Linked DNA regions of Saccharomyces cerevisiae S288C. Changing the gene in region 2 together with the main gene of any one other region gives a genetic interaction. Each region holds a gene or a part of one and is shown on either strand. Other genes may lie near its edges.

Region 1 (7,468 bases), on a different chromosome or scaffold from region 2:
CTTGTTCCACACTAACAGAAAGCTTATTCCCGAGGTATCCGCTGTTGGATATTTCGTCTTCAGAATTGAGTGGTTTTCCATCAAATATAACTTTTTCACCGATGTCTTTAACACCAAGATTTAACAAACCTCCATCCGGACCTTCTGTTAATGCGTTAAAAGACCCAATATGAGGTTGAACAGCTTCCTGTAATAGTGGAAATGCTGATTTATCCTTAGGTGGATTGATGAACCTAGATTCACGTTCTAAGGTACGGAAATCAGCAGTTCTGGCTTGGCCAGGCGGCTTAATCACTTTGCTCATCTCACCAAATGCGTAATTCTACGTTTATTTGTCAATATTCTTGAGGAAGACTTGCTTGAATATTACGAGACAGCTGAAGTAAGTTTGAATAATTAAGAGATGAGATGAGTCTCTAAGATGCGCTTGAAAAATTTTTCATACGAAAAAAAAAAAAAAAAAAAAAAAAAAACACTCGCAAGAGTAATCTCAATAATAATTTCCGTCATTAGCGATTATAGCATGAAGGGAGGCCGAGAGGCCGCTTCTGCGGTATGATAATTAAGTGGTAGTGCAGAGACTCAAAAGGGCGCTGAGAATCTATTAGAAATGCCATTAAGTGCTTTGAACTCTTGTAGCATGTCTGCTTCTGTAGATATAACACTCTGATGCAGATTTATGAATAATTTCATCACTCGATGTCATCAGCGTCTTCCTTCATTTGATGCTTTTTTGAAGTTTTCATGGCATGATTTAGCATTTGAAATATAATGAGAAAAGAGCCCTTTAACTTACAGAAGTAAATGTACAAAACTTAATCGGAGGAAGAAGCTTAAACATACAAAAACAACAGCAGGATGACTACAAAGAAGCCGTTAAACAAATCTTTTTGTCTCCGTTACTAATTCACTAATATAGTAATTTTGCTAACCTCTATCGTCATTGAAACTGATTTGTCCTCGAGAAGGCAACAATCAAACTGCAAAAGAAACGTAAAGCAACGACTTGAACAAGTAATCGCTAACCACATATTGAGATAAGCAGATAATCGCTGTTAAACGTCGTTGATACAGTCAGTCAATATGAATAGTGTAGTATTTTATCGTTAGGTTCACCTTCCAAATATTCGTTAGATAAAGATGTTTCGGTTTTTTATTTCAACAAAAGAGCCTTGTTGGCGCAATCGGTAGCGCGTATGACTCTTAATCATAAGGTTAGGGGTTCGAGCCCCCTACAGGGCTTTCTTTTTTATTGCATGGTCTATCATCAGGTTCCCTTAACCGCTGCCAAGAAAGAGCACGTGTAAAAATGGAATGATTATACATCAATTAAACATATAGTCATGGTGGTGTTGACATGTATATAATATACATTAGTTTTGTCATATTTGAAGAATAAATAATATTTCGATTTGTTCCCGACAATTATTGAAAATGTTTTAAGTGTAGATATTAATATAACAAATCATCAACATGGTTTTTAATCCTTATCTTTGGCAAGGACTTCATCTAAACTAGATAATTCTGGGTTACCTGTCAATCTCAAAGTCTCGTCAGTTCTTAATTTCTTATATGTGAAGTATGTCCCAGAGCATAAAGCTACACCAACAGCGAGAAATAACGGTGTTAATTCGACGGGTATTTTGTAGCCACCAGATGTTTTTTTCTAGTTTTTTGTTAGTATAATACTCTATAATCTTGTAGTTAGCATTCATAATCAACATAATTGTTTTCTTAGAAAGCATCAAGTCAGAATGAACGCATGATTATCCGTTTGTCACAATAAAAAGAAAATATCCCTTAACATACAGCTGTATTCAACAGTAACTGTGCTGGTCTCATTTTTCTATATTTTTCTTTTTTTAAAGTATTGTCAGAAGTCGTTCAGGAAACTACCAAAATTAAATAAGTCTCAAAACAAAGTTAGCTTATACTGGTATGGGAAGAGTTATAGTTGCTTTTGAGGAGATGGCGATGCCTTTAAAGTCTGTTCTCATGCTCATCATAAAGTACGGGAAATCCCCCGCTTTGTACGATATGATTGGCCCATACTGCAAGACCGATATAAAGAAAAATAGACAAGTTAATGCTATATACAGGATGTCGTTCTTCAGCGGAGGGATCGCGTCATTACTTGGTTTTCGCTGACCCAAGCCTGTCACCTCAAGCTCACCAATTTCTTACAGAATCACATACAACTTCGTAAACTAGCCAACTCACTGCAGTTGAAGGAACAACTTTAAAAAGGTTTGCAGCTAAGCCTTTGTAGTAACCGCTAACGCCTTCTGCTCTGCCGATTGTCACGAGCGCATCCCAGACACTCGTGTATCTAAATCCCAGTTCATTTCCGCCCATTGCGAGAACTTGAAATCTTCTTCTTAGCAGATCAAAGGGATAAGTGATTGTTTGCGCAACCCCTCCACTTATGGCGCCAATTGTTAATTTATAGAGGTTACTTTTCCAGGAAGGCTGAGCATCGGAGGAATTGACACCGAATTCTCTCAATTGTTCGTAAACTGCAAAGTTTAGTGCTACATATGGAACAACACCAAGACTCGTTGGCCATACACCCCTATATAATCCCCTGAGACCGCCTTCGAGTCTGTAAGTTTCGCTTAGTAATTGCCAGATCCCCGGAGGCTTTGATATACTTTTTGCCTTTGAGCGGTTTAAACTGCTCAAATTTGCTGTCTGAATCGATAGTCTTGTTTTGATCAAGTCCAACGGGTAAGTAGCCACCACACTACAACCACCACACAATGCACCACTGAATAGTCTTTGGGTGTTCGTTAGTTGTTCTTGTCCATTATTGCCATTTACATGGAATAACTTTTTCTTACAAGCTTCGTATACTACAAACTGGACTGCACTATAGGGAAAAATTCTTATGCAGTTCAAACCATTTCCTCTGAATAAACCTTTGGTTCCCTCCTCATGGTAAACCTGCCGTATAGAGCTAAAGATACCTCGGTTATAAGAAGTGGTTGAACTTTGAACTTGCAGCAGTATTTTAACTCTCTCAAAAGGTGAAACAACGGTTCGGGAAACCGCGCCAGCTACTCCACCAGCTAGAAACGCAATATTTGAATCCTGCTTGAGAAAATCTTTAATTGAGTTCGGCTGCTCGAGGACGGTCAGTACTTCTGCCATGTTAGCGAAATAACGATTAAAAAATTTGAAAGTCAATACTATGAAACAAGGAAACGAGCAACTTGGTATACTTCCCTCACCTTTGTTAAATTCACTTGGCCTTACTGGCAATCATAATCATTTTGACGAACTGCGGACATCGAGAGTACCCTGCAAATATATCTAGAAAAAGAGGTAAAAAAATATTGAAGGGTCAACCTGAAAAAAATTGAAAAGTGAAAATAGATCTGCTGATAAATAATGCACGGCTTGCATCAAGTGATCACATGGAACTTTCCCAATACCTCAACTACGCATTTTCCCTTGCATATTATATCATCATCCATCTTCTTTGCCTCTCATATATTTACGAAATAATACATAAACATAAAAACGTCTTTGTGCGTCCAAGTAAACTTGAAGACGCACTCCCGTTATATAAAACTGGGAAGAACACTAACAAAGAAGGTGACTTGCGCTTAATTAGTTTTATTCCCTTGCTTCTAAAGTCCGTAAAACATTCTATTAGAGTCTATACATAGTTTTGCCTTACCTTTGAATATGAGTTCTAAAAATTCCATTGCAATAAAGCTTTCCGTTCCTATTGTTTCTATGTAGTGTTTAAGACTTTGTTTCTTTTCCTTTCATGGCTTTTCAAATGTCTCAGCATATTGCTTTTCACATTGAAGGATTTTGTGCAACCCTCCCAAGTACATTTGAAAGGAGTATCTCCCGTATGAATTAAGTAATGTGTCTTCAGCGTTGAGGGCCTCGAACAAATTTTTCCACATACTGGGCACTGCTTTCTCAGCTTTGTGGATGATATTCGGGTGTCAGTTTTCCAATCAGAAAATGTTGCTGAACCGTTCAACACGGCACCAGGTTCGCTTTTTGTTCTGCCGTTACTGGCTTCCTGCATGGTTGGAAGTACGCCATACCCAGGTGGGACTGATTTTGGCCTATCGTGGCATAGCTCTAAGGCAGCGTTTGGGTGACTCGCCATTGATATTGCAGTGAAGTTAGGTTCGGAGGCAATTGTTATTGGTTCTTTGTCGTATGGTGTCAATGGTTTATATACTGTTGGGACCATGACTGGCATCATCAAGGGAGCAGAGGAGGTCAAATGAGGAGACTGGCTATGTGGTATTGGTTGCTGACTTTCCGTATAGTAGATAGGATATTGATCAGATGTTGCGTTCATGGAAATTGGGGTGTAGATCTCATTAACAATGGGTACAACATTCATGCTTTGATAAACTTGCTGTGGAGGGAATTGAACCCTTGAATCTACGTTAGGTGGTGTATTATTTTCAAAATTAGGCAAAAGGGATGAAATTGGTGGTAAGTTTATTTTCGTACTATTATAACATTCCCGTTCATTTTTGTAGCTATTGTGGCCATAAAATTGAGTCCCCTTACCAGTGCTCAGCTGATCAACTGCGGACACTTGAAGGGGGAGGTTCGATTTATAATTGACTGTACACATTCCTATATTAGGAGATCTTGACTTGTCTGTATATGATGATTGTTTTTCTGAACTTTGCTTTGAAAGGGAAAAATTCATGTAATTTACTTTAGTGGCGTTTACTGCTATTTTTCGAAGGTAGGTGATGAACTTGTGTTATAACTAAGAAGCTCAAAACTAAAAGTATACTAATGTTTGAGGAATTATTGTGAAGCCATAGAACAATAAAAAGCTAACAATTGTATCTTTCGTTCAACTTGTCAAACCCTGACAGGCATATAAAAGAGGTATTTTGAAACATCAACATGTAGTAGTCACATATATAGCAAAATAGTAAGTAAGGAAAAAAAGAAGGCACAGAGAATACAACAATAATGATGAAGGCACACGACTGCCCTTTCCGGGCCACCTGCAGATCTGTAAGGTAGTTCAAATGACGTTCTCGCGCGGGTTTCTTACTTATGAAACTTTAGGGACATAAGTCGGGAACCTGATGCATCATTCTTTATCTTGTTTTTTGTTGTTGTTTGAGTTTCTTGTACAGAATAATACGCAGAATTAAAGCGGAAGTTAAAAAACAGATCGTCTTGATCTGCCCTCAAAACCAGTATCCACTGAAAACCTTATTTCCCACCGTAAATGGCAATCACTCGTAGCTCAAGGTGGAATGCTCCCGTAAGGATATTTCCTATATGAGATAGTCCCGATCCTGAGAAGAGGGATCGCCGTCATTTTATTCTTTAACCCCGAGAAACGGCATCTCTCACCTGATTGTTCTCAAGATTGCTGCAAAACCCAGATATACTTTTAGGTACGGAGCGTACGCGATGTATATGGATTGATTTTCACATGTATCGTTTATGAGTACTTGACTGCACCTCGTGTCGGAAGATTTTCCAATCGGGCTTTTTTTCAATCTTGAAGGCCCTCCTTTTCATTTCCATTTGCTCTGACATTGCGGCTATGCATCACAGGCAAAAGCTGAAAAGGAAATTTTGTAGCGTATCGGTTTACTGCACAGTCTCAGACCCTTTGTAGTACTGTTACCTGGAAGAATAGTAGGTGCGTACAACAGTGATTATGTAGTAGTATCTACTGAAGAGCCTACGAGCGAAAAAAAAAAAAATTATCGGCTACATTACGTTGTTTCCTACGGAGACAAGAACCAATATAAGCTGCAAAAAATCTATGAGCATTTTAAGTTTCCGATACAACAAGATGTATGCGTACTATTCACGTCGTGTTATATTGCTCACGTAACAACTTCTATGACAATAATAAAAAATAACCTTTCCATTGTATCATTAAGGTTATCTACGGAGGATTGTCAAACCTAGCGGATATGAAATGTACTTGATTCCTAATTCGGGTTTATTTAGAGTTCAGACTATGTGGGTCATTTCTTATGCTAATAATAGGCACTGAGGTAAGTCAAAATAGCGACACTCAATTACTGTTGAATGGGAAGAAAAAACCGAGAAAGGGATACAGAGATCTTGCCCACGCCTTTTTTTCAAAAAGAGCCCTTCGCAAGGTTGCTCAACGGGATTGTCATAGAAAGAAAAAATCAAAGCCAATAACTACAAGGCCAAAAGTAATGGTAGGGAGCTACTACAAAGTGGGCTCAGCCTACCTGAAGAAAATAAACAATTAATGGACAAGATCTGTTAGCGGACATACAAGAGATCAAATTACCTTCTGGTTAATGCTGTAGGCGAAGCAAACCATTCAATTGAGGAAACCTTATTCCCAATTGCGCTTTTGCTCCCTGGAAGCCTATAACAGCGTGTGGGCAAATAAAGTTGTTTTTCGCCCTCAGCGACTTTACTTCGGAAACTGAAGAGCGGCTAGAAATTTCGCAGAAAAGATTTTCCTTTGAGGATAGAAAAATGAAAAAAAGAAATTTATCTTTTTTCACAACAGGTGCTGCTTTTTCCTCACGTATGCACAGAATGCAAAGTACAAGATTTGTAATACGCGACTCCGCGCAGCTGTACTCTACTCCCAAGTCAGCGGAAAAAATGCAAGACATACAGAAAGTTGCCGCTTTATTGGCTATTTTTTTGGGCGACAGCCCTGGCTAGCCTCCTCATTGGGTTGTAGAGGAAACAAAACTGAGATGTCTTTGGACTAATGTCAGCAATAATAACTCGTAAAATCAAGTCAGAATTTCTATCCATTCAATAGGTATTCATTGTTTATGAAACTAAGAAACGAATGTAAATAATTCTGGGATATAACAAATAGTTCCCTTTGGATTACTTAAAACATAGTACTGCAGCTAAAATTTGTAAAAATGTTAACGTTTCTTTGCGTTGAGTAACTTGACCTTCACACGTAGTTGCAAGTACCGATGCAAAATTTTTACACTGGTGACAACCTTAATGGTATAATCCAATTAGCGACATCACCGAGAAAGTATCCAAGTCGATTTGATGAATAAAATAATAACTTAAACATTCAACGCCGTTTGTTAATACTGACACCTGAAGGAGAGTCAAAAAGGCAAACTTTCTTGCAACAATCATAAAGCTAAGGCACCGCTAGAGCTTACGATATTGGCCGCAAAAATAACTATTACACTTTTTCGTTTCTGTGGAAATGTAGGGTGATCAACTGGCTAATTGCTGCCTTTTAAGATATGCGGAGGAGATTGTGCAGCCATTTTCATTTTAGCGACTCATTGATGGAAGTATTCAAGTCAAGATCACTTGTTTAAATTCAAGACTACTGTTTAAATTCATAATTTTTTATTGCTATCTTTTTTTTACCACAGATCTGACCGACACTCCCGCTTATCGCCCATTGCGGCATATACTTAGGCAAGTCAAAAGCCGAGGACAGCAGTTGAAGACAGGCTACAATTTCTATAGT
Region 2 (8,170 bases):
GATAATAACAAGGGATAACTGTCCATATTAGGTATGATAGAAGGAAGATGAATAAATGAAAAAAATGGATGGAATTCTTCCTTATAGTAAGTCACATAATCGTTCAATTGACTAGTTGTGGGGAAGGCTCCTGAATCGATATTATTGTCGGCTAGCATCATACTCCTTAGCTCATTGGTAAAAAGCACTTGAGATACTGAAGGGACAGAAAACGGAGATAACAAATCCGAAGGAGTAAGAACAGGCAGCTGTTTCTGTGTTGCATTAGAATCAGTTTCGCCGGGGAAAGACAAAGTGAGAACATCGTCGTTCACATGAGAATTATTTTGCTCTGTCCCGTTTAATACCTTGGAAATATCCAATTGCCTTGAGCTGAAAAAATTGGATAGATCGTAGTCCATCATGACGCTATCACGACGCCTCTTATGAGAACTATGGGAAATAGGGTCAGAATAGGAAGGCTCCTTTAGTTGGTTTTGTGGTGTACTTGGTAAATCTGTGCTTCCATTCAAACTCAAGTTTAAGCGAGGTGATAAAGAAGCTTTTTCATGATTTAATGAGGTAGCAGAATGGTTTGGAGGTGACTTGTTTGGTATAGATGACCTTGATGAAGGTGGAGAATAAATAAACCCAATGTCATTGAAATGATTGAAGTTGATCTTGAAGGTAGATTTTGGATCAGAGTTGTTAATAAACTCTGATAACCACTTGTCATCTATGGCAGCAGGATCGATATTACTATCCTTATCATTGGGCTCCATTGATGGTTCCAGTAAATTATTTGTGCCTGGATTGAAATTGATCGTGGAAGAGGAATCTGAAACAGTTGTTGGTGGGTTTTTAGGAGATAGTGACATAAGCGGCTGCTCATTGCTCATTTGCCTATAAGTTTGATTTGCCAAATTACTGTAACTATTAGAAGCCGTAGTAGAATTAGACGGTATAGTATTCGGGAAGCTTGACGGAAGGTTAAATTCAGAAACTGTCGGTTTATCATGACTGAAGCAGCCCAAATCAAATGGCGAATGGTGGCTAGACATGTATCCTCCCGCACCTGCATGTGCAGAGTTCATTGTCAAAAGATCGGTTAAAGATGGACCGCTACTTAAGAGATACACTCCAGGTGTAGCAACTGTACTTCCATTGTTGCTGTTCACTATGGTACTAGAGGTGGAATTTTGCTGTTGTTGTTGTTGTTGTTGTTGCTGTCCGGAGGGGTCATTGTTAAATAGATTTAAGTTAAACTTGATAGCTTGCGGTGGTTCGTCCAGGGTTAACGGAGGTAAATCCAATTCTGACACGCTTTCCATGAGCTGCTTCGCGGTCATTTGTGGAGTAGAAAAGCCGACTTGATGCGGAGCGTCTTCAACGAGCTCGAAATTGGTAATTGAATGGTGGGGGCTATTGCTACTAGACATGTAAGTCATTGCACTGGATGCAGAGAAAGACGCATGTCTTTTCGTCTTATGCATGGAAGAGGGAGTGTTCGCCCTGTCGATAACAGCATCGCTTGATGCAGAGTGAACTGGCACGCCTTTCGTGCTGAACTTGAACTCTCGAAATCCTAGGGAGCCTGCCTTACTAGGAGGAGTTTTCTCTCGCTTATCGTTCATTACTGGGGCCGAGACGGGAAGTTCTACATTATTTGATTTGGCCAAGGCAACCACGGCCTCTTTCAATTCTTCAGATGTCTTACCAGCAAGGTTCTTCGGGGTGGGTAGAATAGTCTCTTTATTTCCGGCTATTTTAATGATATGAAGGTCGGTTGGATCATCCGCCGCCACGGAATGGCGCCGCTTGGAGGCAAAAGAAGAAGTCGAATTTGGTGCTGGCGTCATTCGCCGTGGATCCCCCGTACCTACAAGAGCAGCATGAAGTTTTTGCTGATGCCTGAGCACTAAATCTCTACGAGCAAAACACCTACCGCAAAAGATACAAAGATACGGTTTCTCACGGGTATGCGAATGCTGATGTCTCTTCAAATGCTCCTGCCTGACAAAACCCCTAGTGCATGTGGGACACAAGAACGGTCTTGGCTTATCAGTCTTAATAATTCGAGATTTTTTAGGAATGGGCAGAATACCTTGACCAGCGGGCTTAGCGAAATTAGATTGATTACCGTTCACAAACATACTTGGCTCCGGCACTAATAAAAAATCTTTATCTGCCCTATCTATTCTAGTATCGCCAATGTCTTTTAGCTTCTTCGCCCTAAAGTTTCTTTTTGGTGCAAGAGTCTTCGAGAAAAACGTGTGTTGAGAGAGGCAATGTTTAACGAAGAAAAAAAACTCTATGGAAATCCAAGAAGTCCTTGTTTCTTTGTTTTCGTTTCTAATATATGCAGGGTCAAGCGGGAAAAAGAAAGACAGACGGAAAAGTGCCCAGCAACACGGAACAAAATTGTCCAGATTTATTCGAGCGGCCGCGGTTAGTATGCATAATGCAGGCGCCCCTCGTCCAAATGCGAACGGTTCCATCCGAAACAGGCCATTTCCCAAAAATTATTTCTCTTAATAGAAGTTGCTCGCGTAGTTACCTATTGTCGATGCCGCATACGCAGTTACCTTATCCGTTGCCCTACGGAGAATTTCCGCGATGCAGCACCGTGCGGCGAGATCACAATTTTCCTTGTACACTCTACTCTGCCCCTGGAGTGGTTCACCCCCGTCTGTGCGTATTTTCGTGTATGATGATATAAGGTCGTTACTACCGTTGATTCAAAAACAGTTGCTTCTTCCATATATTGTAGCACGAACAACTATGGCCGGCCGCAAATTGCGACAATTACACCTAACGCAGCATTAAGGTCGCAGGAAATGTTATCTGCCGAGCTGTTTATCTCTGTTTTCCAAGATTTTTTCAACCAGCCCATGAGTCTGCTGTTGGCGGCAACCCAGTTACAGATAATGGTGCATGTGATAAGCTTCGTACCACTATTCGTAGTTTGTTACATCTTGTAAGCCAGTATATATATTTGTTAGATTGTGCCCTAACGTTCCAGTAATTGAAGGGTAACCGAGGTTTCCGTGGAAAAAAACCGTGTATAAGCAAGAGGTTCCGAGCGAAAAAAAAAAGTATAAAAGAAAGCACAGGCAATGAGATTTGTTTTTCGCTTTTCCTTCTTATTTGTTAATTCTATTTTTGAAGTTTCCTTCCGAAAAAAAGTAACTTTGTCCTAAAGTACTAATCCACCGCATTAGACAGTACGAAGATCGAGCTATTTATTTGAACACTCGGTCTTATTCGTGATAAGCGTAATGTGGAGAGATCAATTTCCGGGTCATTTATAAGAACTCGAGTGGATTGCTAGTTGTTTTGATTAGCTGAATGAGACTCGAGTGTCAGAAGATGACTATATTTTTTTTCTTTTTTTTTTTAGTTATGTTTTATTTTTGAACTTGTACTTGCACATGTATCTTATTGTTTCGTGATCTTGTAGATCCGTATGGGTGCAATCAAAGGTTTGAATTGCAGGGCTTTCATCGCGCGGATCTCGTTGTTTGCGTCGTACTCTGTGCTGGTGACTATGGTACATTTTAGCCCGAGTTTATTGCACTCTTGAGAAAACAGTTGGACAGTGGATTCGCTTCTAATTGTCGCGGATAGGAGACACAGTTTGCATCGGTCTAAAGCAAGACATTCGGCCAGACACTCGCATAGATCAGGAAGGATAGTTGGGTCATACGTAACATCTGCCCCCACTACTAAATCTATATCCTCAGGAACTCTATCGCTGCCCCACCATAATCTTTGCAACTTGATGTCTGGTTCGTTCTCACGCACTTCATTGTTCAATTCAAAATTTCTTTTCAGCTGCGTCTCAACGAGATTCGAATCACCATCCGTGACGTACATCTTATTTACGAACTCGTGATACTTTTGTAAAATGACGAGACTCACTATGCCTGTGCCAGCGCCGACCTCAAGAACATTTAATTTTTTCTTGCCATCGTCTTGTCCTTGTACCGGTGCCAACTCTTGTAAGGGCTTATGAATAAGGAAATCACCCATGTATAAGGCAGCTTCCCATGTCCTGAAACCTGTAGTACTGGCCGCACTGATCAAATTCGGTGTTTCCTCAATTTTGATCTTTACGTCCTCGTCAAACCTGTACCTCACGACGTCTTTCATCATCGGGTCTGGCTTGCCTGTGCTTAATAGTTTTATGTACTTCTCATAGAGATAATCATATATCTCTATCTCGTCTTCGCCATCGTTGACAATTGTGAATGCCTTCGCGAAAATCCATTCGTGGTCTAAGAGCATCTTGACTATGGTTTTGCAATAATATGCATTCGTCTTTTGCACAAGTTCCATCTCACAAACAAATCTCGATGCATGCAGGACATCGTTAGATTTGCTTGTTTCCAACTCTTCTAGCAAGTATTTTCCAGGGCACCGCTGATGTAATCTATCGTAGAATAGATCTTCATTCATGTTATCTTTGACGAGGAGGGTCAAGTTTTACTAGCTCGATTTTTCTGCTTTCTTTTCCTTTTTCATTTACTTATACATTCTTCATCATTTTTGCGATGATGTACTAACTGCTAGTATTTATTTCGCTGTTTGTCGTGTCCGGACAATCAGCATTAAAATTTTCTACAGAGTTTTCTAATACATATAAACATTTTGGCTTTATTCCCCTAAAGCTTTCTCAATGGCACGCTGAAAAACATTGCATAAAACGTCGCTATTTTCCAAACCGACGCTCACTCTTACAAGATTTGTTTCGACACCATATTGAGCTACCTCGTCTAATTCCTGGTAGTGGGCAATAATAGCATATGGACACGCCAAAGTGAAATTCGTACCGAGAGAAGGTCCTTTGCACAATTCCAGATTATTGAAAAACTTCTTTGCCTCTTCAATATTGAAAAAAGTTAGTGAAAATAAACCTCCATACCCACCATCTTTTGTAGACATAACGCTGTCATAATTCCGCTTGGTATCCTCTGATGTTAAACTGGGGTAATATATTTTCTTGAACAATTTTCCCACCTGAGGCAATAACACCCTTTTTAACAATATATCAGTGTTTGTATTCACCTTGATTGTACGTTCCACGAAGTCTCTCGAATTTCTTTCCAGGCATAACGCATCTTCGCACCATAGGCAATCTTCATATCCGTCTTCAGTCTTCATAAATTTTCTAGCAAACTCATAAATCTTTCCTCTAGGATTTAGTACTAAGGATCCTGCAATAACGTTCGAGTCGCCGCTGAAGATTTTCGTTAGCGAACTACAAACAATATCGGCATACGGTAATACATCTATATTGACAAAGCCACCCACAGTTTCATCGACCACTATGTAAAATGAATACAAGTCTGATAGCCTTTTCAGTTCTTGTAAATCTCCCATTTTCAACAGTGGGTTCGATGGAGCTTCTATAAATACCGCCAGTATTTGCTCACCAGAATGTAAAATATTTTTCAGAGCGTTCATTGACGTTGAATCTCCCTGTCCCAAGAAATGTGTGTGATTGAACTTCCGAAGAATGCTCAGAGTATCTGTATATGGGAATCCAAACATGACGGTCTTCTTGAACGGAGGTCCATATCCAATCAACTTATCTTGTCTACTAGAAGACCTTGATAAGCGCTTGGCATCGAAGTTTAAAAGCAGCCTGTGGGCAGTGAAAATGGACGCCATTCCACTTGGAAATAAGTAAACATCCGTATTAGGGTTGACATGAAACTTCAAGTCATCGGTAGCTGTGTTTTCAAAAGTACTGTTTGAGCCACTTTCTCCCATAGAAGTAATTGTTTCGGCAGGTATGTCCGAATTCAACTGATCATCATCCAGAGCCTCTCCACTGCCAACATTGAATGGACCGTTGCTCTCGTTATAGTGTTCAAAAGAGAATAGGTCCGATAGACCTTCAGAGTCAATTTTTTCAACAACTTTTGTGGCAATCCTCTTTCGTATTAGATATTTGGCTTTATCAGCAGCAAGAAAATTTAAATTTCTCCCAAATCTCGTTTCTATATATTCTTCGTTCACTCTGTTTTCATCTTCGGTCATAAATTTTTTACCGTTATCCACTGTTTCCATCTTCTTAAGATTATCCTTGACTTGTAATTCATGTAAAATATACTCCGCCATTCTGCTAGATACAATCTCACCAGAATGTTGCCAATACTGCTTCATCACGGGGAATATTTCCTGGTCTACAAACACCACCGTGATTTTACATTCCCTTCTCCAGAGCTTTTCCTCTTGGTTCATAGGTTTAGGTGTACATAGTTGTAAGATGCGTACTTTGGTAGAAAGACCCGTTTTCACTTTGATAAACTCTCTGCACCTATTGGCAACCTTGTAAGAGGGGAAGCAAAGACAAGCTTCATCTTCCATGGAGTACTTAGCGGATAAAATTTCACATAATTTCTTTATTGACTTGTGTATGAAAAATCTTGGATATCCGGTAGTAAGCGAGTTAATTATACTGCTTTCACCCTCTTCATAGCCTACTGTAGCTTCCCATGTGGGCAAACACACGGAAACAGCATGTTTTGTGTTGGGCGGAATAGATTCACCAATGGTTCTAGATATCATTTTTTCTTCTGTTCCTCTTCTCTCTCTTGTTTATGTAGGTCCCGAATCGGCACATGAGCGTCATTCTACTATCGTTATATATATGGGTATATATATATATATATATCCAAAATATATGACTAATTTTTAGACCGAGATATTGTGAAGTGCAGAGGCGCTATCATGATTTTTGTTTTTTACATCCACGCATGAAGATAAGTCATATTTACTAGGTTTGAAGGGTTTTACCTGAACAACACTGGCAATCATTGAAGTTAATTGAGTTCTTAAACCGCAAGATATTTTAATATGAATACTGCTATTTTTAAATAAGACTGTAGCAAAATGTGGGGTTAAACTTTTACAAATTCACTTTGGTTGTAACGCATTTTCTGTGGAAGAGCAATTATTTGGAATTTTCAGTTTCGCCAAACGAAAGAATGAAAGAAATGTGCTTTGCCAAGAAACGAAAGACGACAGAAAAAGGTAGTAAAAGAGGAAAAGGTTAAACATTGAAAAAGGATTCTATGAAGAACTCTGTCGGTATTTCAATTGCAACCATTGTTGCTATCATAGCAGCTATATACTATGTGCCATGGTACGAACACTTTGAGAGAAAGTCACCGGGGGCCGGAGAAATGAGAGATCGGATTGAAAGCATGTTCTTGGAATCGTGGAGAGACTATTCCAAGCATGGCTGGGGATACGATGTGTATGGACCTATTGAGCACACTTCCCATAATATGCCTCGTGGCAACCAGCCGTTAGGCTGGATTATCGTAGATTCAGTGGATACCTTGATGTTAATGTATAACTCCTCCACACTATACAAAAGTGAGTTCGAGGCAGAAATTCAGAGATCGGAGCATTGGATAAACGATGTTTTGGATTTTGATATTGATGCCGAAGTGAATGTTTTTGAAACTACTATTAGAATGCTAGGTGGTTTATTATCCGCATATCATCTATCTGATGTTTTAGAAGTAGGTAATAAGACTGTCTACTTGAACAAAGCAATAGATTTGGGGGATAGGCTTGCTTTGGCGTTCTTATCCACTCAGACCGGAATTCCATACTCAAGTATAAACCTTCATAGTGGCCAAGCGGTTAAGAACCATGCAGATGGGGGGGCATCTTCTACCGCAGAATTCACTACGCTACAAATGGAATTCAAATATCTGGCGTATTTGACAGGAAATCGTACTTATTGGGAGCTGGTGGAGCGTGTTTACGAGCCATTATACAAAAATAACGATCTTCTAAATACCTACGATGGATTGGTTCCAATTTATACATTTCCAGATACTGGGAAGTTTGGTGCTTCGACTATCCGGTTCGGATCAAGAGGTGATTCTTTTTATGAGTATTTACTAAAACAATATTTATTGACGCACGAAACACTTTATTATGATCTGTACAGAAAATCCATGGAAGGTATGAAAAAGCATTTATTAGCACAATCCAAACCCTCTTCTCTGTGGTACATTGGGGAAAGAGAACAAGGTCTACATGGACAACTTTCTCCTAAGATGGACCACCTCGTGTGCTTTATGGGGGGATTGTTAGCATCAGGCTCTACTGAGGGCCTTTCTATTCATGAAGCCCGAAGACGTCCGTTTTTCTCTCTTTCCCTTGA
Region 3 (6,895 bases), on a different chromosome or scaffold from region 2:
TCATAAGATATGCGAGGCAATAGAATTAGTGAGTTCCTGCATTTTCTGTGGGTTGCCACTTTTCCGCTAGTCATGATACCGTTTTCATTACGTGGGTCGGATGCTTTTATCTCCGGATGTCTGTGTTTTATTTTGAACTTAAACTGTCCATCTTGTAACTCTTTGACTACGTAATAACCTGTTTCAGAAAATTCTTTATCTGTAGCCTTCCACGAAAGCATCTTATCCTTATTGAAGAACTCGCCTTTTATGGGATCAAAATAATGAAACTTAGACTTCAAATTATCTGTGTTGTATCTCAAAACTGAAGGTGGTCTTTGTTGCAAAAGCAGAGCAGATTCTGTGGGAAGAGATCCACTCGAAGACGCTAATGTATTGTGAACATTGCTATTTGAATACCGTGATTGAGACATGCCCCTCCGACTACTGATGTCAGATTTCTTATTTACATATGGGCCGCTTTGGCTGTTGTTAGTAGCATAGTACTGTCGCGTACTTGCATTGTTTGAACTATGTGGGCGATCGTCATTATAGCGTCGCCTTGTACCATCATTATGGTTATAACGTCGACGTTGATTATATTGACTAGAATATTGTTGGTGAGAATGGCCGTTTGAATACTGATAGTGACCAGAACGCGAATATTGAGGCTGTTCCTGGGGTTGTCTGTATGAACCAGAAGACGCGTGTGCTCTTCTATAGTAATTTGACATTCTCTAAACGCAGAGACCTCTTATAAAGATTCAACAAATAAGGAATGTTACCTATGCTAGTCGCAACTCTCTCGTAAGTTGAGGGTTGCTAACAGAAAAACGATGAGAAGAAACTTTTGAAAAATATTGTGTGAAAGCAGCACGAAACAGAGTATGAAAAAAGAATGCGGGCGTCCGTAAAGAGCTAGAATCGCAAGTGTCCAGAATATGCAAGGCTTTCGAATACACTCCTCACGCTTCTCTTCAGCAAAAATCAACTCTTTGTGATAAAACTGTGTATTTCTTTGTTCTTTGCCGTTGTTTACGTTAGTAAGAAATCGGCATTGAAAAAAAAAATCTCACACTAAAATTGCAGAAAAAAGTGTACAATATCAGTAAATAAAATTGGCCAAAACAATACCATTAAAACCAGTCATGTCCATGCAACAAGTCCAACATTGTGTCGCAGAAGTACTTCGACTAGATCCACAAGAAAAACCGGACTGGTCGAGCGGATATTTGAAGAAGTTGACTAATGCGACATCGATTTTATATAATACTTCACTGAACAAGGTAATGCTGAAACAAGATGAAGAGGTTGCTAGATGTCACATATGTGCATACATAGCGTCACAGAAAATGAATGAAAAACACATGCCTGACCTTTGCTATTATATAGACAGTATTCCCTTGGAGCCGAAAAAAGCCAAGCATTTAATGAACCTTTTCAGACAAAGTTTATCTAATTCTTCACCTATGAAACAATTTGCTTGGACACCGAGCCCCAAAAAGAACAAACGCAGTCCAGTAAAGAACGGTGGGAGGTTTACTTCTTCTGATCCGAAAGAGTTGAGGAATCAACTGTTTGGTACACCAACTAAAGTTAGGAAAAGCCAAAATAATGATTCGTTCGTAATACCAGAACTACCCCCCATGCAAACCAATGAATCGCCGTCTATTACTAGGAGAAAGTTAGCATTTGAAGAGGATGAGGATGAGGATGAAGAGGAACCAGGAAACGACGGTTTGTCTTTAAAAAGCCATAGTAATAAGAGCATTACTGGAACCAGAAATGTAGATTCTGATGAGTATGAAAACCATGAAAGTGACCCTACAAGTGAGGAAGAGCCATTAGGTGTGCAAGAAAGCAGAAGCGGGAGAACGAAACAAAATAAGGCAGTTGGAAAACCGCAATCAGAATTGAAGACGGCAAAAGCCCTGAGGAAAAGGGGCAGAATACCAAATTCTTTGTTAGTAAAGAAGTATTGCAAAATGACTACTGAAGAAATAATACGGCTTTGCAACGATTTTGAATTACCAAGAGAAGTAGCATATAAAATTGTGGATGAGTACAACATAAACGCGTCAAGATTGGTTTGCCCATGGCAATTAGTGTGTGGGTTAGTATTAAATTGTACATTCATTGTATTTAATGAAAGAAGACGCAAGGATCCAAGAATTGACCATTTTATAGTCAGTAAGATGTGCAGCTTGATGTTGACGTCAAAAGTGGATGATGTTATTGAATGTGTAAAATTAGTGAAGGAATTAATTATCGGTGAAAAATGGTTCAGAGATTTGCAAATTAGGTATGATGATTTTGATGGCATCAGATACGATGAAATTATATTTAGGAAACTGGGATCGATGTTACAAACCACCAATATTTTGGTCACAGACGACCAGTACAATATTTGGAAGAAAAGAATTGAAATGGATTTGGCATTAACAGAACCTTTATAACATATCCAGTATTAACTAAAAGTATATATTTGACCAATACCTGACATATCTTCTAAAGCATGCCTTTAGCCCTATAACGAGCTAATGTTAGCTCCATCTTTGCACTTATGATTGGATCAGCCCTCAAACGCTTTTGTATCTTTGCAGCTTCCGCGAAGGTAGTAGCTTGAAGTTTTTCATCCATAGTTCTTGCTAAAATTGCAGAATCTTCAAACAATTCTATGGCCTCGTCAATTTTTTCCATTTGTAATTTTAGTTGTGCTAACCCGATCTTCGCTTGTTCAGATCGTGGATCTAATTCACAGGCTTTTGTCAGCAGCTTAATGGCTGCGTTGAATTTCTCTTCATCCAACTGGGTTGGATCTTGAGAGGATTGTCTAGCTAATATAGTTGCTTTCCCAATCAAGGGTCCTATACCCACATGTATTTTTTCTTGCACTTCTTCCAACCTTTTAGCAATATCATATTGTTTAATTGCAGTATCAAAATCGCCCCTATCTGTCAAGATTTCAGCGAAAAAGGTGGGCACCTCAGGTAAGGTAGGAAACTTCAACTTTGTTTCATTGAAAAAAGCTTCAGATTCGGTAAATTTACCTTGCTTGTACAACAAACAGGCTAATTGAATGTAGGGATAAACATTTTCAGGGTTCAAGCTTTGGGCCTTTTGGAAATCTTCCTTGGCATTTTTATAATCTTGTAGAATAAAATACATCTGCCCACGGTGGTAATAGGTTGGCGGATACTCAGGGTTTAGATCAACAGCTTTTTGGAAAAATTTGAAAAATTCTTGAGAGTTTTCTTTATCGGCCAAGGTCAATGCCAAAAATATGTACGAATTTGGTGTTGGATGCAGGTTTATAGATTCTTGTAAAAGAACTTGGGCATCTAACAGGTTATTTTTTAAGAAATGGAAAATACCCGTGTAGCACAATGCCAAGGCAGCATTCTCTCTTAAAGGATCGTCCACTGTATTTGCAGAAAGTAGAGAGTGGTACATGTCAGTGGACTTTGTTAAAAGATCGTTTGCTACTAAGTAACCTTCATCTGTTGCAGAATATAGTCTTTGCAAAGCATCTGACAATAGAGCGTATGCAGTATCGTAGTTTGAACTGGTGTTCACACTAGAAACTTCTAAGTGAGAGTCAAAAATCCCAAAAAATGACGCCAGAGATGTGTTAGACGGCAAAACCTGCGAGCCTCTGCCTTCATCCTTCGATAGGTTTTCATTTAGTACTTTCATTGCTTGCTTATTTAAATTTCTTTCCAGCATAGGTTCAATGGAGGCTCCATCAAAGTCACCATTCAATGACAAAACAGATAGATCAAACATAGCATCAGTGAAGTTGCCCAGTGACTCGTTGGCAGATGCACGTCTCAGCAAGGCTTTAGAATGGTCAGGTTTTATCTCAAGTGCCTTTGTAGTGAACTCTATAACCTTCTCTAAGTCGCCCGTAGAAATGTAACAAGCAGATATGTTGGAATAGAACACTGGTTCATTCGGGTCCAGCTCAATGGCATACTGGTAGTATTTGATGGCCTCATTAAAATTCTTAGCAGTGAAGAAGTGGTTACCTCTGTTCTTCAGTTGCACGGCATACGCTTGTCTCTGGGAGGGTGATAGGCCTTTCAATTGGGCAATATCAGGCTCGCCATTGGGCAAGGAGGGATAGTCAAACCCTTCTCCCGATTTTGCCTTATTGTTCCTCTTGCGTTTATTCTTCTTCTTCTTCCTCTTATTACTTCCACTTACGACGCTGCCGTCGTCCTTTAAGTCCGCCTCGTCTTCATTTTGACCAGCAAAGGCCTCACTTTGACGTCGGTTGTCTTTTGTACCCTTCAATTGCTGCTGTTGCTGCTGCTTAATTTGCTGGTAGTAAACATAAGCACCCACAGCAGCAGTCCCCGCAGAGACCGTTGCTAGGATGGCCACTTTGTTCTTGGTGATAAACCTCAGGAGGGAGTTTTCGGCCATAAGAGCTTCTTATGTTCGGTATATACAAGTATGTAGAGATATATACAAAAAATTCTTTATTCGCACTTTGAAAATCCAATTTAGCTTGCTTATTTACATACCATTGCGAATTAGTTTTTCACATTGCACTAGAGTGTGCTGTGGCTGCCTGTCGGAACACTACGTCGCGTAGTGGCGATCTATATAGAAAACAGATCACAGCTGAACAAACAAGAAGAAAAGGCTGCCTCATTCCCACTGCTGTCTGTTTTTCCTCCTGGCTGTCAGCCATTGTTTCTTGCATTCGCGGTATGCGTCAAAATATTCTTGGCACTTGGATCGGTCGTAATCGTTGCGCTCGAGGCACTGAAAACTGAGCTTGGAGGACTCCTCACAAGGATCATAGTACTGACTGTCAGCCTTTAACGCGAATTTATACTTATTGACCGGGTTCTCCGGGTCGTCTGGGTAGTATTGAAATGACGACGGATCGTCGCTCTTTGGTACATAGTTGACTTTGGTTCTGTCCGTTACGGGTCCACTGGCCGCTGGTGGCGTGGAAGACGAAGATGGTTGTGAATTGTTGCTGCTTGTAGAGCCACTGTTGGTATTTGTGGTATCCCTATTATCGTTGGTCATGGTCATACCGTTGGAGATAGTGGAGAGACTACTAGTTTGCCGCCTGGTGGGGCTGGGCTTCTCCATTCTCTTTAAGCGCTCTCGTGAGAGAATATCACTGTTTACGGCCCACAAAGAGAATGAGAAAATTGATAAACCTTAGCATTGGGATCAGCAGGAGCCTTAGAATTCTGGGTGTGAACAGAAACACATTAGTGCATTAGTGTATAGGTTCGATATTATTCAAAGAGGAACTCGGTGTACGGCTCAACTGTAAACCGTACTTCTCGTTCTTTGTTCACTGCCCTGTTTCTGACTCTTGTGCCGTGAGCTTTTCTTCTTACAGTGTCGATTTCCTGTGCACATACGTTCTGTATAGTGGTTATTCCTGGATGTCTACTAATACTGTTCCCTCATCTCCCCCAAACCAGACGCCACCTGCTGCTTCTGGCATCGCTACCTCTCACGATCACACCAAGTTCAACAATCCCATCAGACTACCGATATCCATCTCTCTCACCATTAACGATACGCCTAACAATAACAGCAATAATAATAGCGTTAGCAATGGTTTAGGTATTTTGCCCTCGCGTACGGCTACTTCTTTAGTCGTTGCAAATAACGGTAGCGCAAACGGCAATGTTGGTGCTACTGCTGCTGCTGCTGCCACTGTGGAGACGAATACAGCCCCCGCGGTGAACACTACAAAGAGTATCCGCCATTTCATATATCCTCCAAACCAAGTCAATCAGACGGAGTTTTCACTTGATATACATCTCCCACCAAATACCTCGCTACCGGAACGGATAGACCAATCTACTTTGAAACGCAGAATGGACAAGCACGGGCTTTTCAGCATTAGGCTAACCCCGTTTATAGATACTTCATCCACGTCTGTGGCTAACCAGGGTCTTTTCTTTGACCCCATTATCAGGACTGCGGGCGCAGGCTCGCAAATTATCATCGGAAGATACACCGAAAGAGTAAGAGAGGCAATTTCCAAAATTCCAGATCAGTATCATCCCGTAGTGTTCAAATCAAAAGTGATATCCAGGACCCATGGGTGTTTCAAAGTTGATGACCAAGGAAACTGGTTTTTGAAAGATGTCAAGTCTTCCAGTGGGACCTTTTTGAACCACCAGCGTCTATCTTCTGCGTCTACCACTTCTAAGGACTACCTTTTACATGACGGAGATATCATACAGCTGGGTATGGACTTTCGCGGCGGGACGGAAGAGATATATCGTTGTGTTAAGATGAAAATAGAATTGAACAAGTCTTGGAAATTAAAGGCCAATGCATTTAATAAAGAAGCCTTGAGCCGAATAAAAAATCTACAGAAACTAACTACTGGTTTAGAACAAGAAGACTGTTCCATTTGTCTAAACAAAATAAAACCTTGCCAAGCCATTTTTATATCACCATGTGCCCATAGTTGGCATTTTCATTGTGTAAGAAGATTGGTTATTATGAATTATCCTCAATTCATGTGTCCGAACTGTAGGACAAACTGTGATTTGGAGACTACCTTGGAATCCGAATCTGAATCCGAATTCGAAAACGAGGACGAAGATGAGCCAGACATTGAAATGGATATAGACATGGAAATAAATAACAATTTAGGTGTTCGCCTAGTAGATTGATCACATGAAATTTTGTGCTATATATATATATATATATATATATATATATAACATAGAGTCGTCATACCTCTCAAAAAAGTGGCGGCCAGGGAAAATATTTAATAGTTTCAGTTCATTCCTTCGTTCATTTACAGTAACTTGTAGGAAATAGACCTTTCAATCCGTCACATTCACCATATGTCCACCCGCTACCGTCATCGCCTCTGATAACAGTAATTATGTCCCCCGGATCAATTGAAATCTCATCA
Region 4 (8,064 bases), on a different chromosome or scaffold from region 2:
ATAAAAAGCACGTCTAAGAAATCTCTACGTCTTGGCTGCGGCAAGCAACTGCATAGAAAGCACATAGTAGTAACTCTAAAATGCGAGCTTCATACAGACAATTACATAAATGCAACATAGGCAGCATGGGATCCTGGGTTTCATATCGTCAAAGAAAGCCACCAACTGGCTTTACCATAAAAATACGAAAAGAAGTGCACACATTCTTCTTTTTGGCTCATCACAAGTTCTTCAATTTACTGTCATTACTTTTGTTTCCTTGTCAGATAATGTATGGGTGGTGTGTACACCAAGGTATTTTTTTTTTTACTTGGCAGATCTGCAATGCATAATAGAATGGTAAGGGAACGAGTAACAGACGGGAAGCGAATGCGAACACAAAGAATATAAATTTGAAATCTCCTGTTGCAAAGGATTCTCTAGACATTTACTATCTCAGTGACAATTCTCGAGTGAAACAAGAAATTGAGATGGTAGGTCAGCGCCCATACTTCTTGAATCAATTGGAGGAGCGGATAAAGCAAGTTTCCCCCCTCAATGTAAATCATCTTAAGCAAAATTTTAAAATCTAGGCACATATAAAGAGAAAATGGGAATGATTTTGCTGGATAGGCTACAGTGTTAGGAATGCAGAATTAGGAACTATAGATGATGCGATTAAAGATATTAAACGAGAAGTGACAGTGGTGGCTTCGACAACGGCAGTCGTGCTCGGTCGACAACGTGTATGTTTTTGCCGAGCAGAGCAGGGAAAGTCCTTCTTTCTGCGCGTGAATCAAAACACATTGGTATCGAATTTAACATATCTGGGTGAGGAATGGACAATCCTAATAAAGTACTGGAGGTTTGTCTGTATTTCCAAGTTCTTGCTTGTAGAAACTGCTTTCTTTTCTCTTTTCCTGCAGCGGTCGAACATATGTGATTATTGATTAGCCATTTGTTCCAAGTCATATAGTAGTATTACGTGTTCAGATGCGGTGTTAGCGTATCTTTTTGTTAAATAAAATATCATTGTGCCGTTGCCGCCCTACCTGCCAAGGGTCAAAGAAGGCACCTTTATACGATGCCACCTTTTTATAGTATTCTACTACAGAGTCATCGTTCACCAGTTACTGTTCATTCTACTAAATTAGTATGGCGTGTTGCATAGAAGGAAGCATGAATTACAAGATCAGTAGAACAAAAAGTTCAACTGTTTGGAATTTAGTTGAACATGTGACGAAAGCTCTGCTACTAAGACAGGGGCAAAAAATAACAATATGTAAGCATAAGAAATGGGTCAATGTTGGGATACTTGGTGAATTCCGTTCTTTTTAGAAGCGGATTTTCTTATTCGTTTATATGTTGCCATTCATTACCCTATCATATTATGAATCTTCACATTTTATTTTCCATAAGATCTGATGACTGTTTCCCAATCACCTTACATCATATATGATAATGTACAATTGATATGAAGAATAGCAGTCGATGGATGATATTTTATTCTTATTATCAACATGTACAAAGTGTTGGAACGGTAAAGACCAGTGCAAATCTGATAAAACTTTAAAATAACATGGACAAATTTATGTCCAGGATTCTCCGAAGAACTCATCCTTGTTAGCTCAGTTGGTAGAGCGTTCGGCTTTTAAGCGCATTTGCTTAAGCAAGGATACCGAAATGTCAGGGGTTCGAGCCCCCTATGAGGAGTTCTTTCTTTTTTTCTCTCAATTTTTAACCGGTACCTTTAAAAGGGTATCAAAAACAATAGCATAGCATAAAAGAAATAAGTGCAATTTATTGGTGTCATTTATATAAGCTATGAATTTTAAAAAAAATAAATGTAGCAGTTTCTTTTTTGTTTAAATTCTGAGTTTTCTACTTTTTAATTTCCAAAATACTACAGCTGAAAGAACAGCGGATACAACGAATGCGATACTGCTGTACTTGTAGACAGCCGAAATACAGGACGGATTTCGCAGATCTCCTCCGCCACTCATACAGCGAGAATCGTAAAATTTGGCATACAACATGCAAAATATCATAGAACCTATAGCAGGTGCAATTAGTAAGCTACCGTAAACAGTCCCGAATGAGCGTTCGCCCCATACTAACAGGACCAGCGTCGGATAAACAGTGAAAAGTCCACCGTATACAATTCCAACCAATGATCCTGTAGGTACTAGCCCCCAGGGTGACGCTGAAGAGGTCATTTTCAATAAAAACAGTTGTGCACATACCCCTAATGAAAGGAAAGTCAACAGGATCCATTTAATTGATATTTTTTTCTTGGCGAAGAAGTCTGCCACTATGCCTGTGAGCAATCTCGTAAAAGTGGAAGATAGCGCGTATGTGGATAACAACTTTGTAGATAAGGTTGGCGCATCTAATTGGACTAGCAGGTTAGTCAGTGATCCCATATTGGCAATAAACATCTCGAGGGGCCCAAGTGATAACAAAATTGATACCGCTAGGATATATGTCACAGGATCACTAAAGATCCTTAGCATCGTCTGCGTAAACTTTTCTTGAACATGATTACTTCGTTCTAACAGCGGTGATTGTTCCACATCAGTTTGATCATCCAGCCGTTTTTGGTTGTCTTGCTCTTCATTAAAATGCAAAAGTGATACCACGCTGGTGGCTATCCATGCAAGTAGCCCAATAACGACATAAACGAGGGCAAATGTTTGGAATACTCTTCCCAGGTTTAAGTCACTATTGGACGAGGAAGAACTTGCGTTAGAGGACCAGAACCATTTGATTCTTAGCAGTTGAGAACCGACTACAGAAGAAATACCATAACATGTCGTTGGTAAGCTAATGGATAGTAGTTTTGTATGAGGATATAGCTTAGTGCATGTCAGTAAAGCGCTAAAGTATAAAGCGCTTGTTGATATACCTATGAAAACGAAACAAATGATGGATAGATTGAATGATGAGTCACCATTTCCTCCGAGAGATAACTCCGGATGATTAAAAACGTAAGCCAGATATGAATAGCTAGGTATGAACCCTATGATGGCTAAAAGACTTAAAGTAATGGGGCCATGAGAATCAGCGATCATCCCCAAGATTGGTGGCGTCAAGTACATCCCCAAATTAGTCATACTAGCGATGGTGTTGATTTGCCATGAGGAATAATTTAAATGTTTCTGCCACGGTTGAGAGTAAAGAGATATCAAAGTAATGAAGCCAGTTGACACCGCAGATAATAGCGAAAAGATGTATGCAACACGATGTGATGACTGAAGAGACAAAACATGGGGTAAGAGTAAGCGCGTATGGTATGAAAGGTAGTGCTCCACCTTTGATAGAGGCATGATTTGCACTTGGAAAATGGTTATTGCTATAAAATGATATGAAAGGAAACTAGTCTCGATGAAACGTTAGAAGTTGCTGTCTGAGTAGCGGTCTCTGTTATCTTGTATTTACACTGTATAATAGTTTTTCTTGTAGGGCAAAAAGAAAGGTACTAATTTCCGAACGATGCGAAAAGCCGCTAGCATCGGAAAGGCTAAGTGAACTATGCAATAAAGACTAAGAGAAAAAGCAAAGAAAGGCGTCTTAACACAGTATACATTTTTCGACATTATGAATTATAAAATTTTTATTTACGCTTGTAAAATAATATTTTCATTTCTTCTATTTTCCTCTTTTCTTCGTTTTCTTGACTTCATACTTCATTTTTTGTTTGACTCCTTTTTGCGTTATGAAACGTGATGCTTCGATATTCTCATTGGTTTCTTAAAACTTTAGCAATATCGGACAAACAGCCGTATTTTTTATTCTTATTTTTACTGCTTGATACAGTACCCCAGTCAGTGGCTGTTGAAACTCTGCCACTTGCCGTTTCTGATAGTACTTGCTTATAAGTTTTCATTGAATGACTTTTTTCACCAGCGGTATAGCTCTGAAATAATTTGTGCATATACGATCTAACTTCTTCTCTATTGTAAGGTTGTTTATTCGCTCTTTTAAATTTCTTATTTGTGGATGATCCATTGGCGGTGGAACTACCCTTTATATTAGCAGGCGGCGCGGTAGATGCGATGGTTTTAGTCTTCGTATTAGCAGGTTGTACAGCCACGGAATCATCTTTTCGTGCCTGCTGTTGCTGTTGCTGTTGCCTTGGAAGGGCTTTGGCAGCTGCCTGCGCCCAACCTGTTAATTTTGGCTTCTGAGGAAGCACAGCGGGCGTTGGACCATTTGAATTTGGACCTGAAGCAGATAAAGTAGCCTTCAAAGTCGAGGAGGTTCTGCCATCTACACTGGTTGTTGAGGTTGTTGTCATTTCGTACTAGATTAAAGGGAAAATTGTATCGTAAATAAGTAATAAAGTTAATGAAAATTCGGAAACAAAAATGGATAGATATTAAACAGTGAACAAATGAAAAATTTCAGAAAAAAAGAATTAAAAAAAAAAAGGGAAAAAATATGCACAAGATCGTATTATTTGTTGTTCCTCGTATTTTTCTTTCTATTTAGTCTCACATTTTTGACACATGCCTGGTGTTATATATACATTACAATGGAAAGTTCTTTTCTCTTTCTCCGAATAAAGTAGCGGTCTATTGATCACTTCTTACGCTGGGTATATGAGTCGTAATAAATAAAATCATCAGAATCATTCGTAAGTCATTTTACTTTTTTAAAAAGATAATTACAGTTTTTGGGTCTATATACTACTCTAAAAATGTGGTGGTGGCTTAATGCATCTTTTTTACAGATGAACCTTCGTTATGGGTATTGACATCGTTGCTAATGCTGACAGAAGGCACAGGCTCATTCTTGATTTTCTTGTTCACTTTCTTGTCATGTTGAAGAGCGGCATACTCAATAGCTTGTGGTGGGAGGGTTGTATCGTTGATGGCGGGAGAGTAGCCAATCTCCTTCAAAGTGTCAACCATTTGATCTCTAACTTTTTCAGCAAATTCACCAATTTTGTCCTTTGTTAAGTTCTCGGTTGAAATAGGTTTTAAAATTCTAACAATCATACAGCCTCTGTTGAAGACCCCATATTTAGGACTTACTAAAGTACTGGTATTGGAAACAACCACTGGAACAATGGGGATCTTACCCTGTTGTGCCAAATGGAAAGCACCCTTCTTGAAAGGCAACATTGTCAGCTCACTCGTGTAAGACCTGGTACCCTCAGGAAAAACCCATAGAGCACGCTTGTTTTTCTTAACATTTTCTAAACCTTTATTCAAGGTGTCAATGGCTTCTTGCCTTTTAGATCTGTCTAAGAAATATGTACCACTCAAAGCCATGAACCAACCCAGAAAGGGGACGTATTTCAAAGACTTCTTGGCAGTAACTGTGCAACCAGGGGGGAAAATCCTACCTAACATGAAGATATCCAAGGTGGATTGGTGATTGGCAATCATAATATATGGCTTCTTGGCCAAATTCTCCTCGCCAACGACCTTGACGTCAAGGCCAAGCATCAATTTCATGACATGGTAAAAACAACGCGCAGTAATCCACTGAGCCAAATGTTGCTTACCGATTAACGTGCAAAGGATAGAGGCGATTACACCGTAAAAGCCACAGCCTGCAAGCGCCAGTACGACCAACACGGACCTCAAGTAATACAAGAACCTACCTATCACACTCATTATTTTTTTGCTCGAATTCACTGACGGAGGGAAACCACTAAACTTCTCTATTGAAGAATTCCCCCTTCACCTTAAACCCTTCCTAATATAAGTATTTTGAACACCATACCATATTCTCAACAAAACAAAGGAAGCATAATTGATATCATCATTCACGAGATCCATCTCGTGACCGTGAAAAAATTTTCGTCTTCGTCTTAGTGTAATGTGTTCAGCCCAACCTCATCGCAATATCTCAAGATTTTTGAATTACAACCAAATCAAAAGCACAGAGTCGCATCTCATCGCTATGATGTATTTTTTTCTTTTTCCAAAAAATGGGTTCTATTTGGTTCTACTGGAACTAAAGTAGCATCTGCAAAGAAGTAATGTCTGAAAAACCACAACAAGAGGAGCAAGAGAAACCACAATCAAGACGTAATTCATTTGCTGTGATTGAATTTACTCCAGAAGTCTTGGACAGATGTTTAAAGCAAGTGGAATTCTACTTTTCTGAATTCAACTTTCCATATGACAGGTTCTTGCGCACAACAGCGGAAAAAAACGATGGATGGGTCCCCATCAGCACCATCGCCACATTCAACCGTATGAAGAAATATAGACCAGTGGATAAGGTTATCGAAGCACTACGTAGTTCTGAAATTTTGGAAGTATCTGCTGATGGAGAGAACGTCAAGAGACGTGTTCCTTTGGACCTAACTGCTGCCAGAAATGCCAGAATTGAGCAAAACCAACGGACTTTGGCTGTAATGAATTTCCCACATGAGGACGTTGAAGCTTCCCAAATTCCTGAATTGCAGGAGAACTTGGAAGCCTTTTTCAAAAAATTAGGTGAAATCAACCAAGTGCGTTTGAGAAGAGATCACAGAAACAAGAAATTTAATGGTACGGTCTTGGTGGAATTTAAGACAATTCCAGAATGTGAAGCTTTTTTGAAATCGTATTCCAATGACGATGAGTCCAACGAAATTTTGTCATATGAAGGTAAGAAACTGAGTGTTTTGACGAAAAAACAGTTTGATTTACAGAGAGAGGCCTCGAAGTCCAAAAACTTCAGCGGTAGATCAAGATCCTTTAACGGCCATAAGAAGAAAAACTTGCCTAAATTCCCCAAAAATAAGAAGAAAAACGGCAAGGAAGAGTCAAAAGAGGACTCTTCTGCCATTGCCGATGACGATGAGGAGCACAAGGAGTGATTCTTGTGTTTCTTCTGGTTCTCGTATCTCATTATCATAGCATATTAAGAATATATGTACTAACATATGTACTAAACAGAAACACAATATGAATTACAACTAATACTATATTATTTGTCTCCTTTTTTTATTAGTATTAAAAATTACCGTTACTGGTTAAAATGGAATACAGCTCATCCATTTAAAAAAAAAAAAAAATAGAATAACAATAATTAAGCAGAAAAAATGTTAACGAATATAATAAATCGATTTGTCCATTTTCATAAATTTTTTTTTTGTATTATTTCATTATCTGTGCCTCAAAGCATTAACTTTTCTTGCAGTCAGAGAGAGTCTCTTGCGTGGATTATACCAACCGCCATTATCAGCCGGCATAGGGGCCGGCGTAGCATAGTTACTATCAGCTGTAATTATGTATGACCACCCTGGTGTTACGGTAGTATGTTGATCAACGGAGTTTCTTAAAGTGTAGTAATACGTTACCTCACTGGTCGCGTACTTCCTTTTCCATGTCTTTGCTGTTACCTTAGTAGCCGGTTGGAGTTGCATGGGAGCATATTTCACAACACCTGTTTGTAAGTTGTAGGGAACGGTGAAACTCTTAGAATCAATCGTGGCACCCACATCTCCTGTGGTAATTCTTGTTTGTGCCTCTGGTGCAATGGTTATCATACTCGGATTAGCGGCTTTTGTACCAATCATCCCTTTTAGTTTAAATCTGTTAGTGTAATGAATGGTGTAACCGATAGCTGTTTGCGCAAAGACTTGTATGAAGTAAACACCGTCCGTCCCAACGGTGTTTTCTATTATCGCATTGAACTCGTTGTCTGTCAGATCACTCGCACTGAGTGTTTGAAGAGTAGCCATTGCTTCTATCATGGCATTGGTACCCGAACACAGAGTAAACGTGTATCTGACAAAATCCTTTTCCTGTGGTGTGTTATCTGTATGCATCCACTTTACTTTGACAACAGCCTGACTTGTACCAGATAAATCATAAACTGAGTTGGGTTCTGGAGCCACAATGGCCACATCACAATAAGCTGTTCGGAACACTACCGAACAAAATAATGTTAAGAATAATACTATCAGCATACGTTTTACGTAATTGATTTTTTATTATTGTTACCTACCTAAGAAGTCGACGTAATACTTGTATACTTTACTTTTTACTTCTGTGCAACTTTCATCGATACGTTTTTATAAATTTACGTAACTAACTACCTCATGTAATATTATACATGAACGAGCACATAATGTCCAAT

The links.
Region 1: mutations in STR2 (region 2) and MRX21 together harm fitness more than expected from each alone (negative genetic interaction), as found in Saccharomyces cerevisiae (2 studies listed by BioGRID).
Region 3: mutations in STR2 (region 2) and COX23 together harm fitness more than expected from each alone (negative genetic interaction), as found in Saccharomyces cerevisiae (2 studies listed by BioGRID).
Region 4: mutations in STR2 (region 2) and MCH1 together harm fitness more than expected from each alone (negative genetic interaction), as found in Saccharomyces cerevisiae (2 studies listed by BioGRID).

The regions. Positions count from the first base shown.
Region 1 is NC_001148.4:580,893-588,360, forward strand, and holds MRX21 (Mrx21p), read right to left. Parts: upstream 3,151-7,468; coding exon 2,170-3,150; downstream 1-2,169. Other genes in the region: DNA-directed RNA polymerase I core subunit RPA135, read right to left, coding at 1-304; MRA1 (Mra1p), read right to left, coding at 1,481-1,666, 1,810-1,842; CMR3 (Cmr3p), read right to left, coding at 3,740-4,693; YPR014C (uncharacterized protein), read right to left, coding at 6,297-6,626.
Region 2 is NC_001142.9:660,583-668,752, forward strand, and holds STR2 (cystathionine gamma-synthase), read right to left. Parts: upstream 6,556-8,170; coding exon 4,636-6,555; downstream 1-4,635. Other genes in the region: RSF2 (Rsf2p), read right to left, coding at 1-2,477; YJR128W (uncharacterized protein), read left to right, coding at 2,339-2,698; EFM3 (protein-lysine N-methyltransferase), read right to left, coding at 3,418-4,437; MNS1 (mannosyl-oligosaccharide 1,2-alpha-mannosidase), read left to right, coding at 7,062-8,170. UniProt on the Saccharomyces cerevisiae protein: Catalyzes the formation of L-cystathionine from O-succinyl-L-homoserine (OSHS) and L-cysteine, via a gamma-replacement reaction. In the absence of thiol, catalyzes gamma-elimination to form 2-oxobutanoate, succinate and ammonia.
Region 3 is NC_001140.6:339,861-346,755, reverse strand, and holds COX23 (Cox23p), read right to left. Parts: upstream 5,092-6,895; coding exon 4,636-5,091; downstream 1-4,635. Other genes in the region: histone methyltransferase SET1, read right to left, coding at 1-713; ORC6 (origin recognition complex subunit 6), read left to right, coding at 1,128-2,435; protein channel TOM71, read right to left, coding at 2,488-4,407; ubiquitin-conjugating protein DMA1, read left to right, coding at 5,397-6,647; BZZ1 (Bzz1p), read right to left, coding at 6,772-6,895. UniProt on the Saccharomyces cerevisiae protein: Required for the assembly of cytochrome c oxidase.
Region 4 is NC_001136.10:357,981-366,044, forward strand, and holds MCH1 (Mch1p), read right to left. Parts: upstream 3,306-8,064; coding exon 1,845-3,305; downstream 1-1,844. Other genes in the region: PBP4 (Pbp4p), read right to left, coding at 3,719-4,276; 1-acylglycerol-3-phosphate O-acyltransferase SLC1, read right to left, coding at 4,692-5,603; tRNA maturation protein LHP1, read left to right, coding at 5,972-6,799; KNH1 (Knh1p), read right to left, coding at 7,088-7,894. UniProt on the Saccharomyces cerevisiae protein: Probable transporter. Does not act in the transport of monocarboxylic acids across the plasma membrane.